Linked DNA regions of Macaca mulatta. The protein of the gene in region 3 interacts with the protein of the main gene of each other region in a biochemical or structural test. Links are inferred from orthologs where the notes say so. Each region holds a gene or a part of one and is shown on either strand. Other genes may lie near its edges. The genes, in order: TIE1, TEK and ANGPT1.

Region 1 (3,619 bases), on a different chromosome or scaffold from region 3:
GGGGCTGTGGAGCTCAGAGGGTGACCAGCTTGGCTTCCTAGAAGTGGTGCATGCCTAGGAATCTGCCAGGTAAATAAGGAGGGACCTCCCAGTGCCCAAGATTACTCAGACCAGAGCACCCCCCACTCCCAGTCCCTTCACCTTCTCCAGCTTCTCCAGCACCCTAAGCCTTAACCGTTTGCACCCCGGCCACCCTGTGACCCTGCTGTCCCTCTCCTCCTGCTTCCTGTTACCCCATGTAAGCCCCCTCTCTCACCTTCTGCTTTCTCATTGCCACACTCTGCCTCCCAGGTCCTCGCCATCTCCCCATCCTGTGACTGTGCATCCCTCTCTGCCATCATGCCCCACCTTCCGCCTTTCTCTTCTCACTCTGCCCAGGCTTAGGAGCCAGACAACCTGGGCTTGAACCCTCTCTCCACAAATTCCTTGCCCCATCACCTTAAGCAAAGTACTTAACCTCTCTTACTTTGTTTCTCTCTCTGTGAAATGGGGATAGTTAGCACTTGATGGGGTTGTTAGGAAGATTAAATTAGATGATGCATTTAAGCATTTAGCACAGTGCCCAATACAGGGTGCATGCTCAATATATGTTGATAATTATTGTTCTTATTATTTAAAATGTCACCTAGTCCCTAGATTTTTATTGTTTTCTAGCAGCTCTCACATATGATCTGCAGCTGGGACCCCTCTTCTGACTCCAGATCATTTGGTGGGGCCTCCATGAAGTGGGGCATCTTCTCTGGAAGTCTGGTTTTGAAGTTAGTGTGGAAAGTGGCTGCTGTATGATTCAGAGGCCCATTTTATATCCAGCCACTCCCTGGACATCTAATCCCCTGCATGAGACAAAGGCACCAAGGGCTTCTCCGCACCCAAAATGGACCTTCTTCTCCCCCCAAATCAGCACCGCCTCCTGACATGCTTATTGCTGCCTGACACTCCCTCAGCTTACAGCGCTGCATCCTTTTCCTCCCTTGCTCCCTCCCTCTTTCCTTCCTTCCTTTCCTCTCAAAAAGCCAGTCTCATAAACATTTGTAAGAGTCAAGGGAACCTGTTAAAAGCACTAATGCAATCATCTGGAGAGAAAAAGTTGAGTCCAGAATAGCAACAGCGATCATGGGGTGAGGAAGTGGGACAGGGACACGAAGGCTGTTTTGGAGTAGAATGGATAGATCCAGGCGGCCTGTGCAGACAGACCTAGTTCAACACATGGCTGTATCTCCTCCTAGTTGTGTGTCCTTAGGCAAGTTATTCGGTGTCTCTGAGTCTCAGTGTTTTCATAATGCAGGCTAATGAGCCCTGACGGAAAGGTGGCTGTGAGAATTAGAGGTCATACTATGAAGCATGTGGTGGGGAGCAGGTGCTTCAGTGCCGGTGCCATTTTTTTAAATTAAGAGAGTGGTGAATGAGAGCAGGGGCAGAGAGCAGGATGATGCCCAGGTTGTCTCCCTGCCCTGGGTTTCAGCCCCTTCTGTCTACCCCCACACTGCATGGGAAGAGTGCACCCCCAAACCATGTCTGGCCATGTCACTTCCTCATCTACTATCTTTTGGGACACCCTCATGCTTTTATTGCTGAATCCTTGTGCCCCAAGCTACCCAGGGGCCTGAACTCTGTCCTTCCTGGGCCCTGGCCACTATGGTCATCTGTTGAACTTGGTGTCCCTCAAGCCCAGAGGGTCCCCAGCTTGAAATAAGACACAGAAGTGGACTGGATAGGCTGTGTGCCCATGCCTTACCCTGAGTCTCCTGGCAGTGCCCCCCGTGCCCCTGGCTGCACCTCGGCTCCTGACCAAGCAGAGCCGCCAGCTTGTGGTCTCCCCGCTGGTCTCGTTCTCTGGTGATGGACCCATCTCCTCCGTCCGCCTGCACTACCGGCCCCAGGACAGTACCATGGACTGGTCGACCATTGTGGGTGAGTAGGGAGAGAGCTGGGGCAGGACAGGGGTGTTGGGTAATAGTGAAGGGATACGGTGAGCAGGAGAGGGAGGGCAAATGGTTTGAGGGGGCTGAAGGGAGCATGGCAGCTTCTAGAAGAGGTGGGGGCTGAATGATGTGTGCTGTACACCCCACCCCCAGTGGACCCCAGTGAGAACGTGACATTAATGAACCTAAGGCCAAAGACAGGATACAGTGTTCGTGTGCAGCTGAGCCGGCCAGGGGAAGGAGGAGAGGGGGCCTGGGGGCCTCCCACCCTCATGACCACAGACTGTCCTGGTGAGAGGCCAAGAGTCATCTCTTCCTGTCCCCCCAGCAGTTACTGTCCTGTCCACCCCAGGGACCCCTGCCTTTTCCATTGGAGGTTGTTCTTCCTTGTTCACTGGGGATCACTGTCCTGTCCAGCCCCAAGTACCTACTGGACAGTTCTGACCCCTGACCTCTGGCCCCAGAGCCTTTGTTGCAGCCGTGGCTGGAGGGCTGGCATGTGGAAGGCCCTGACCGGCTGCGAGTGAGCTGGTCCTTGCCCTTGGTGCCCGGGCCACTGGTGGGCGACGGTTTCCTGCTGCGCCTGTGGGACGGGACACGGGGGCAGGAGCGGCGGGAGAACGTCTCATCCCCCCAGGCCCGCACTGCCCTCCTGACGGGACTTACGCCTGGCACTCACTACCAGCTGGATGTGCAGCTCTACCACTGCACCCTCCTGGGCCCAGCCTCGCCCCCTGCACACGTGCTTCTGCCCCCCAGTGGTATGCCCAGGGCGCAGGGATAGCTGGGGGTTGGGGGAGGACGTGGGACGCAGGGACACATGAGACCTAGGAGACACAGGAGGCTATAGATTAATGGACATGGAGAGGACATGGGACATGCTAGGGTATTAGGCAGACGTGACCCCAGCGGGGACATGGGACTTGGGGAAGATCCAGGATACCAGGAGGACACAGATCACCAGGAGCATGTGGGGAGAGCATGGGGAGGTCAGGGTTCATGGCGAGAACCAGGGTCATGGGAGGGCAAGAGACTTGGGGAGCAGGGGGCATGGGAGGATGTGGAGAGGACTTGGGATACAAGTAGTACAAGGAGAAGCAGAAGCTTGGGGGTGAAGGTGGCCTGGGGGAATGGAGAGGAATTCAGGCTGGTGGGGAGGAGGAAGTTGGCAGGGTGGCTCCTGTGCGTGGACCCACAGAGCAGGGGGCACAGCTAGAGCAGATGTGTCCAGCGCCACAGCTACATAGCCCAGTCCCGTCTGAGCCTTGCCTTCCCGCCCCCATCTCCTCAGGGCCTCCAGCCCCCCGACACCTCCACGCCCAGGCTCTCTCAGACTCCGAGATCCAGCTGACATGGCAGCACCCGGAGGCTCTGCCTGGGCCGATATCCAAGTACGTTGTGGAGGTGCAGGTGGCTGGGGGTGCAGGAGAGCCACTGTGGATAGACGTGGACAGGCCTGAGGAGACAAGCACCATCATCCGTGGCCTCAACGCCAGCACGCGCTACCTCTTCCGCGTGCGGGCCGGCATTCAGGGGCTCGGGGACTGGAGCAACACAGTAGAAGAGTCCACCCTGGGCAACGGTGAGAGGGGAAGGCCCACAGGACCCCCGGGCTCTGAGTGGGGAGAGCTCAGTGTGCTCTCCCTCCACATCACCCCCTGCTGTGGAACTAGGGCATCCCAGGCCCCTCCCAACAA
Region 2 (4,295 bases), on a different chromosome or scaffold from region 3:
CTTACAACTGTTTCCTCTGCCACTCCAGACAAGATGTCTGCTATCTCTGAATCCAGTTGTTATTTAAAATGTCAAGTGACAAGGCCGGGCGTGGTGGCTCACGCCAGTAATCCCAGCACTTTGGGAGGCCGAGGCGGGTGGATCACTTAGGGTCAGGAGTTCAAGACCAGCCTGGCCAACATGGTGAAACCCCGTCTCTATTAAAAATACAACAAATTAGCTGGGCATGGCGGTGGCAGGTGCCTGTAATCCCAGCTACTTGAGAGGCTGAGGCACAGAATCGCTTGAACCTGGGAGGCAGAGGTTGCAGTGAGCCGAGATCACTCCACTATACTCTAGCCTGAGTAACAGAGCGAGACTCCATCTCAAAAAAAAAAAAAAAAAAAAAAAAGTCAAGTGACACAGTAAAAGGGGTATGAAGGCATGAGACTAGAGACTTCCTATTAGATCAGTGTTGATCATGTAGAAGATACTATGATAAATCAGTGATTTTTTTGTTAGTTTTCTATGTATACAACTCTTTAAAGAGAGCAGCCTGGTTTGATGAGGATAGGAGAGTAGGGAAAAGCTAATATAATAGAAACTGTTTGAAACCTGAAGTTAGCAATGATTTTCAAGTCAGAAAGGAAAGCAACAGAATCTAGGAATATTTGTGAGGAGCTTCTGAGACCTACACACCTCCTGCAGCCATTTTATGGGCCAGCAACTCTGCCATCCAGAGCCACCTTCACTGAAAAAAAGTGGCATTTCTTTCTTCAGTCTGTTGGTTCAGAAAAAAGAAATGAGAAACAACCTACTGGACTAGAGAGATAAACCTATAAGCCATAAGCGCCTTGCCCCACTGCTGTAGTCTACCAGGAGTTTGACTAGAGAAATGGGCTCCTATGGCTGTGGACATGATCTAGCTGGATTCTTCTCGTTGCAATTACCAAGCCTCAAGCAGTCAGGCTCATGGAGGCTTAGACTAGGAATGCAAGTTACAATCAAGACAACAGACCTACCTCAGAAACTAACCTTGCTAGTGTCACCCTTCCCAACAAGAATATGACCTACTTCCTCTCCTTGGTCCTCTCCCTTTTAAAGGCAGTGCTGTTTTTTTCAAGGATCTAAGGTCTAGACATGGAGCAACTATTTTGGCCACATGACCTTTTTGTTTGATGACAATTCTTCTAAGCCTGTATTGCACAGTGCTATAACATAGTTGCTTTAGGGGCAAAAAAGTGAATGAAAACCGTTGTGTGTGTATTACTTAACCTACAAAGTACCTCAGAGAAACTCTAGACACCTGGGCTTCACATCACTATAATCCCTGGTATAGAATCAGTTTCAGATTTTATGTCACTGGTAAATAATGGCCCTCAGAAAAAAAGAAAATCAAAAATGGAATCATGGTAATTATTTAAAGGTACATATTATTGGAGAAGTCAACATTATTTAAACAATTTCCATATAAATACTGAAGCCACCTAAAATCTTTAATTTTTAGCAACTTGTGTTACACATTCTTACTTTTAAAAATATTATTAAATTCTCAATATGTTGGTTGAGAGCTATAAAACAAATTGTATTCAACTCTTATTTAATTGGATTTTTTTTGAATATTTAAAATATTTCAAACATCTAGAAAATAGAGCAGATACTTATGTATACTTGAATCAAATTCTATTAATATAGCCTATATCCATGAAGTTTAGTGAATTTTCCCAAATTTATCTCCAATATCAATTCAATTTTCATTATAATTAGAATGTTTTCAAACTGAAGGAAAGAGACTGATGGCAATGATAATGTATTTGGGATCTGTAGTTGGGGTTTGGATACTGCCTTCTGCCTATGTCACAGAGGCTGAGTGAGCCACAGAGACACACCACTATCTGGAGTATCTGAGCAATAAACACACTAAATCCAAACATACTGGCCAACCATTCCTCCACTCTACAACAGGCTTCTATACTCTCCTGTGTTAACGATCTTGGTAACTGCCTAAATTTTTGCTTCATTGAGCCAGTAAACCCTTTATGAATTACTAGATGGCAAACATTTTTAAAACTAAAACAAAAATTCTAATGGCCCCAATCTCCCTGACCCTAACTACAAGGAAAAAAAAAAAAAAAAAGCCTACAATTTCATTAATTTGCTTAAAATAGGATATAAATATAAAATCTTTTCACAGAAAAGCATTTTTGTTCTCTTTAAAACAGTGACAATCTATACACTGCCTTAATAGGGCCCCTGTATTTCTCAACATGACTTTCATTTTTTACTGAAGATTCTCTTTAAAGTAGGTAAAACTGGTTTGTTCTTTAAAAATTCAGTAAGAAAAACACTCCAGAATGAGGAAGAGGAAAATAATGCATGATAGTAAGGAGATCTCTTCAAATAAGATGATTTAATCGGTCCTCAACGAGTTTATAACACAGGGGCCAATCACCCAGAAGACAAACTCTAAGAAAATCAGTTCATGCCACAGAGACTTTGCATTTCAATCCTTCCACACATATTGACTGGAGACTCACAGAGAAATGGTGCCTTTGCTACAGCCACCCCTTGTTAATCAGCACTGATGAGATTTGGGGAGAGCACCCAGAAGTCACTAACTCTGTTTTTAAAAATACTAATTTAAAAAAAATAAAGCCAAACCTTACCAGAAAGGAGCAAGCTGACTCCACAGAGAACTAAGCTGGCTAAAGAGTCCATGCTTCCCCAAATCTCTCCATCCAGTTTCCACAGATGTGCATGAGGTCCCAAGGATCCTTTCAAAAACCCAGCGGTTTGTGACTTTCCATTCGCATCGTCCTACTACGTCTTGTTTACAAGTTAGAGACAAGAAGGAACAGCACAGAAGCAGGCTGTAACAGTCTCATTTCTGTCTGAGCACAGGGAGTTTTAAGTTCCTTTTTCCTGTTTCCTTTGTAGATTAGGATGGGAAAGGCTGTATCTTAAAGGCATTTGGTATCAGCAGGGCTGGGGGCACTCAAGCCCTATCCATCTCGCAATTCATCAAAACACTTATCTGTTGCTGTTGCTTCTGCTGCTGCTGTTGCTGCTGCTGTAGGGGTAGAGGAATTTTTGTTGGAAGTGTGGGTCCCGGTCAGCATTTTCAGAAACAATAGGGGTATCCTCTCATAGGCGGGAAACTGAGAATAACAAGCCCTCCACCTATGTATGGTATGCGATGATGACCAATCCTTCTCAGACTTCTAACAGCTCTCCCGGGGCTACTGGGATCTCTGACAGAAGAAGCTTTTGGGTGTGGGGAACCGTTTTGGCTTTTGTTTTCTCATTTTAACCCACATGGTTTGAATTGGGAAAAGAAGGTTTCCGTGATGAGAAAATACAACCTGAAAGGCAATTAATTTCAGTGAGCACCGGTGAGGTCAATGCTCAACGTAGCCCCAAGAGACCAGAGTCCAAAATTGTTAGCCTGTTTTCTTTCACACAGATGGCCTGTTGGTTGGCCATTAGCCCAAAGATACCCATGTTGCTGGCTATAGCTTTAATTTTCATTAACAATTCATCTAAAGGTGATCAAATTTCTTGAAGAAGTTGGCATAGAAGGATTTTGGTAATGAGAAGGATTTCATAGTCATTGAGCAATGGTGTTTCAGAAGCAAATTATATATAACATTTAGAAACTAATCTGTGTAAAAACACAAACATACAGGATTAAATTGGGATAAAAATAGTGCTCATAAGAGCAAAGAGAGTACATGGGCCAAAATGAAAAGAGCCATTGAATGTACAATACCTAAAATGAGATCAGAGACCCTACACTTATCCAGATGATAATTTCTCCACAATATGAATTATGACATTAGATTAGAGAGTATACACTTTGCTCATCATCAACCTTCATGCCTGAGGAAATCATTATCCTCCTCCTTTTCCTACCAACCACAGGAAAAGGCAGATGCAGCTAGTCTTGACTAATTTCTGTCCCAGGTTTTATCACATCTATGCTGATCTTAAGAACCAATTAATGTTTCCGGTTTGCAGGTGTGAAAAAGCCCAGGTTCTGTCTGCAAACAGACCTGGGTTCAAATACTGGCTTAGCCACATGTGTGGCTGAGACAAGTTACTTAGTCTTTTTGAGGCTCAGTTTCAACAGCTGTAAAATGGCAAAAATACTTCCTTACCAGGTGTTTTGAGACGAATAAATGAAGCTTAAAAATATAAAACCATTTGGTACTACGCCTAGTTCATGGAAGGTTCTCATTAAATGTTAATAAATTTACTTTCTTTCATCTTTCCATTCACTCTCAATTTACATTCCAAGAGCTTCTACTAAAAAGCTA
Region 3 (4,378 bases):
GTACTGAGCATACCAAATAGTTACAGTAAAAAGATTCCCATTTCTATTATCAGAATCAATACATCACATGAATTTTAGAACTTGGAGTGAAGAAAACTCCTAATTAAGGGAAACTTATGAAAGCCTTTAGCAAGTTCTTTGTTGAATGCATTTATTTGGTTTCTTGATCCTCCAACCAATCACATTGACAATGACAAAAGATATGCAAATTTAAACTGACAATAGTCAAGCCACACTGCTCTGACTCATACCAATAGGGACGTTTTCAGCATATATTCAGCTTGATATTTACACTTGAAAGGGTCAATGTAACCAAAGAACATTTTAATAGTTATTCTTGGCTATAATCTGAAAGCTATCCCACAATCATTGACCAAGAACAATGCAAACAAGAATCAAATTTATTTTGCAAAATAAATTAACATATGAAACACGTGCATGATTTAAGCCCAGCAGAATTATGTGTTTACCCTGTCACTGCTGAATAATTGCATAGCAACAAGAAATATGCATTACTATGTTTGAATCACTATTTTGATTATGCGTTTTAAGCAAACAAAACATTACGTTTTTGGTAGAATAGATCATTCGGGGTAACTTGGGACTAAATTTTCCTCCCCATTCCCTCAAAGAATCCAGACTAATATATGATTGGATTCTCACTAAAAACTATATGGATGGTGTACTGAAGAATAACAACAAGCTATTCAACCAAAATCATTTGTTTACAATGGAAATAAGTTTTACCAAAGAAAAATACAAACATCCTATTATAAACTACTATTGAAAGCAGTGCCTAAAATTTAAGCTACAATTGAAAAAAAACCGAGAGTTCTGTTTGCTTTTTATTCTTCTACCTACCTACTGATTGCGTATTACAGTCCTATAGTCTGTAATAGAAAGATTACAATATCAGGTTTGGAAACTGTAGAACTACTAAGTTCCAGTTAATGTGTCAAATAAAATAACAGTGATCTTAGTTCAGTCCCTAGTGGACAAAAGTAGAATAACTATTACTTGGCATGATTCAGCAGGCGATGACCTAAGCGAGTGTGATCACACAGGAACAAAATAGAGCATTTGTCCTTTCCCTATCTTTTATCTTTTTAAAGGGATTGCCTCGTTTACAGACTAACTTAAAGAAGCCTGATTGCATACCTATTTATATGTACCAAGTAAATCCATTAACGAGGGAGAGAAGCTTTTCACAAATTGGGACATTGCCTCCATTCTAGTGGCATAGTCAGTGGAATATACTTATTCTCGGCTGCCTATTATTAAACAGAGTGCAAAGACAGAATGAATTGCAGAAGTGTGTTCATAATTTAATAGGCATATCTTCAACAAAAACTTTTAAATGGTTTGTAGATAAATAACTGGATAAACTATTTGATTTGATTTCTATAAATTGAGTTTACATTCATACTCGACATTAACATTCATCAAATAACATGGATACGTAAACTCGCCAGGTACTGTCTCTGTAACTACAATGCCCTGAGAAGGGAGGTGTTTCAGGAATATAGTAGAGACTACATGTTGCATTCAGCCCAAATCTGCAGGTGCATGTCTTCCTCAACAGCCAGCGTGTTCTCATTGTGAGCAAGCAAGCCCTTTCTGACAGTTCACATTACAACGTATCTTTTTAAAATTTTTTTTCTCAAGGACAGAAGAAAAAATATTTAACAGAAATCAGTCCTCTACTATTCTACCACTTGCTGAAATTAACGGTTCCCTTTACATAAATATACAATTTCTCCAACCAAATATCATATTTTACATTTACTCTCACTTCATGTTAATTTTTCTAAAGGTTAAAAAAAAAAAACAAATACTTTGTGATGATTTGCCACCCCAGTGGCACAAAATTTTCTGGTGCAAAATCGATTTGATCTTATTAATTAGTATAGTCATTACGATTATTTATTTTTCACCAACTTGCTTAAGAGGTACATGCTTTCTTTCTTAAGGTAGAGTTTTGACAGAAAGACTCTTAATGCTGAACTTTAAACAAGAGAAACCAGAAATGTCATAAAATTTACCAGGGCTAGACACACACGGGGTGCCCCCACACATTCATAGGATTGCGCAAGCCCCCAAACCTTGGCTTACCCAGGAAGCCAAACCCAGACAGCCGTCTTGCAATTGCAAACACTGCCCCCCTGGAGCAAAAGGTAAACACACAAATGCGCCCCTAAGGAACTTTAAGTTAGCTGCAGTGCAAGAACGGAAAAAGCTCCGTGCTATTAGAAACTGAAAGCAATCACTTACTTTTTGCAGCCACTGAGTATAATTTTCCATCACATGTTCCAGATGTTGAAGTTTCTGGGAAGAGAAATCCGGTTCCACGTGTGGAGCATCTCTCTGCAGAGCGTTTGTGTTGTACTGGTCTGTCGTACTCTCACGACAGTTCCCATCGTGTTCTGGAAGAATGAAAGTATAGGCACATTGCCCATGTTGAATCCGGTTATATCTTCTCCCACTGTTTTCTGGACTTCGGCGCTGGTTGCTGCACCCTGTGTGAGTCAGAATGGCAGCGAGGAAAGCAAAGGAAAGGAAAACTGTCATTGTACTGCCAGCACTCTCCTTCCGTGCCTCTCGCAAAACTTGCTCCTTTCTTCTGACCTCTAAACTAGTTCTTTATTTCAGGTAAATCTGCTTGTTTGTTTGACTCTCTCCCCCTCAAAGAAAGCGTTTGAAGAAGAATAATAGAAAACTAGCCATTTGTTAGCTTTGTTCTAAAATGTTAAAATTTTTTATTTCACTGTAATGATATTTTCCTTCGTTAAAACTTGAGATATTTATTGCATAGTAGCTGAGATTTATTGTTTCCTCTCTGTGTGACCGTTCAGCGTGGAGCCTGCCTGAGTCAGCTGCGTGTACATATTCTAGACTCTTTCCTCTACCCTATCTGCTTCAGATCTGCTATTTTCTTCCAGACCTCAGTGAGTTTTATTAAGGTTGCACATCCAAGCCAAGCTGGAAGCAGGCAGCCTTTCACAAGATGACTTGACAGGAATGCGTGAGTGTGCCCCTATGCTAAGGATTGCTGATGGCTTAGGGCGGCAGGATCGTCTTACAAATTGGCTAGATGCGCATGACCTCGATCATGTATGGCCCTCCCGCCCCCTTCCGCAGACAATTGCCTTGAGCCTTTAACAGATTCAAGGCAAATCAATAAATAGAGCAGTCCACCTTAATACACTTTTGGTGTGCATGCTGACCTACTAAAATACAGCCAACTAGCAGTATGTTTTTAAAGTTACTATTTAGTCGAGGGACCCTAAGAAGAAAATTGGCATGATGTCCAATGAAATTATTTTTGATAGAGAATGATAAACCCGTATCATTATTAAATGTCTTTTAAAAACATGTATTCTTGACTCTGAGGAAAAATATGTAAAATAACAATTTTTACAGGGGGTATTCTTTCATCGTATTCACTTAGACTTTTAGGAGTTGAAGAAAATAATCAGGATCAAAGTAGCAAGAAAATTAGCATCATTTGTTGCTCAAAGCAATATGTTGCACAAAGCAATATAGTATATGCATATTAAAGAGGATTATCTAAGTACCTTTTGGTATAGGGGTCTTAAATGAAACTGGTGTCCTGATCAGAATGCAACCCTTCGTGTTCCGTGTATATAAACTGAGCAACTTCCCTACAAAAACAATGTGGCTACAATTTAAAGCAGTGGCTTGAGAATTATTAATTCCTGTGGTATATCCTAATCCTATATTTTACAAGGATCTCTTTGGTGGCTACGGCTGTCTTTAACACTGGTATGGAAGTTTACATAAAAACCTCCTGTGGCTGCACAGACACACCATGTAAGAACAAGCGTATATCAGGTGTGCTAACAGCCAGCAATGGGCTGCACAGGAGACATCTCTGTGCTTCTGTGAAGGAAGAAAGAAAAATTATCAGAAGATGATTTCCCAAAGGCAGCGTATAAACCTTTGAACAAAGGGACCCGTAAATATAAAGAGGCGATAATTTTAGAATTCAGGGAATGGCTCTGAGATGTTTACTAGATGCAGAAAACATGAACTATGAGTTGGGATTTTCATTAGGAACTGGGAGGGCTTTTAGGCAACTGCAGTCATAGTGGAAAAACAGAAGCCACAGCTGTCATCTCCATGTCCTGGAAGGAGAACAGGGCAGTGGGTGAAGGTTGGTAGTGGTTAGAGATGGGCATTTAGGGAGAAGTTAGAGGAGAGGTCAAAACAAATTCCAGAACTAATGCGATTTATTTGGGGAGAGAAACCTTGCTGAGATTCATCAGTCCTTTCCACACTAAATAACAAATTTCTGATTGGACAGATATGGAAGCAAGTTATGCCAAACACGGCAATAAAATATTTGAACCACTTTTGC

Evidence for each region.
Region 1: the proteins of ANGPT1 (region 3) and TIE1 interact in a biophysical measurement, tested with the Homo sapiens proteins (2 studies listed by BioGRID and IntAct, with this or other methods). The link is inferred for Macaca mulatta from reciprocal best matches to the Homo sapiens genes ANGPT1 and TIE1.
Region 2: the proteins of ANGPT1 (region 3) and TEK form a complex in vitro, tested with the Homo sapiens proteins (6 studies listed by BioGRID and IntAct, with this or other methods). The link is inferred for Macaca mulatta from reciprocal best matches to the Homo sapiens genes ANGPT1 and TEK.

Annotation. Positions count from the first base shown.
Region 1 is NC_133406.1:197,351,107-197,354,725, reverse strand, and holds part of TIE1 (tyrosine-protein kinase receptor Tie-1), read left to right. Parts: intron 1-1,752; coding exon 1,753-1,911; intron 1,912-2,075; coding exon 2,076-2,213; intron 2,214-2,386; coding exon 2,387-2,683; intron 2,684-3,213; coding exon 3,214-3,504; intron 3,505-3,619. UniProt on the Homo sapiens protein: Transmembrane tyrosine-protein kinase that may modulate TEK/TIE2 activity and contribute to the regulation of angiogenesis.
Region 2 is NC_133420.1:72,146,290-72,150,584, forward strand, and holds the start of TEK (angiopoietin-1 receptor), read right to left. Parts: upstream 2,839-4,295; 5' UTR 2,698-2,838; coding exon 2,646-2,697; intron 1-2,645. UniProt on the Homo sapiens protein: Tyrosine-protein kinase that acts as a cell-surface receptor for ANGPT1, ANGPT2 and ANGPT4 and regulates angiogenesis, endothelial cell survival, proliferation, migration, adhesion and cell spreading, reorganization of the actin cytoskeleton, but also maintenance of vascular quiescence.
Region 3 is NC_133413.1:117,799,173-117,803,550, forward strand, and holds the start of ANGPT1 (angiopoietin-1 precursor), read right to left. Parts: upstream 2,902-4,378; 5' UTR 2,569-2,901; coding exon 2,272-2,568; exon of another isoform or gene 2,137-2,271; intron 1-2,136. UniProt on the Homo sapiens protein: Binds and activates TEK/TIE2 receptor by inducing its dimerization and tyrosine phosphorylation.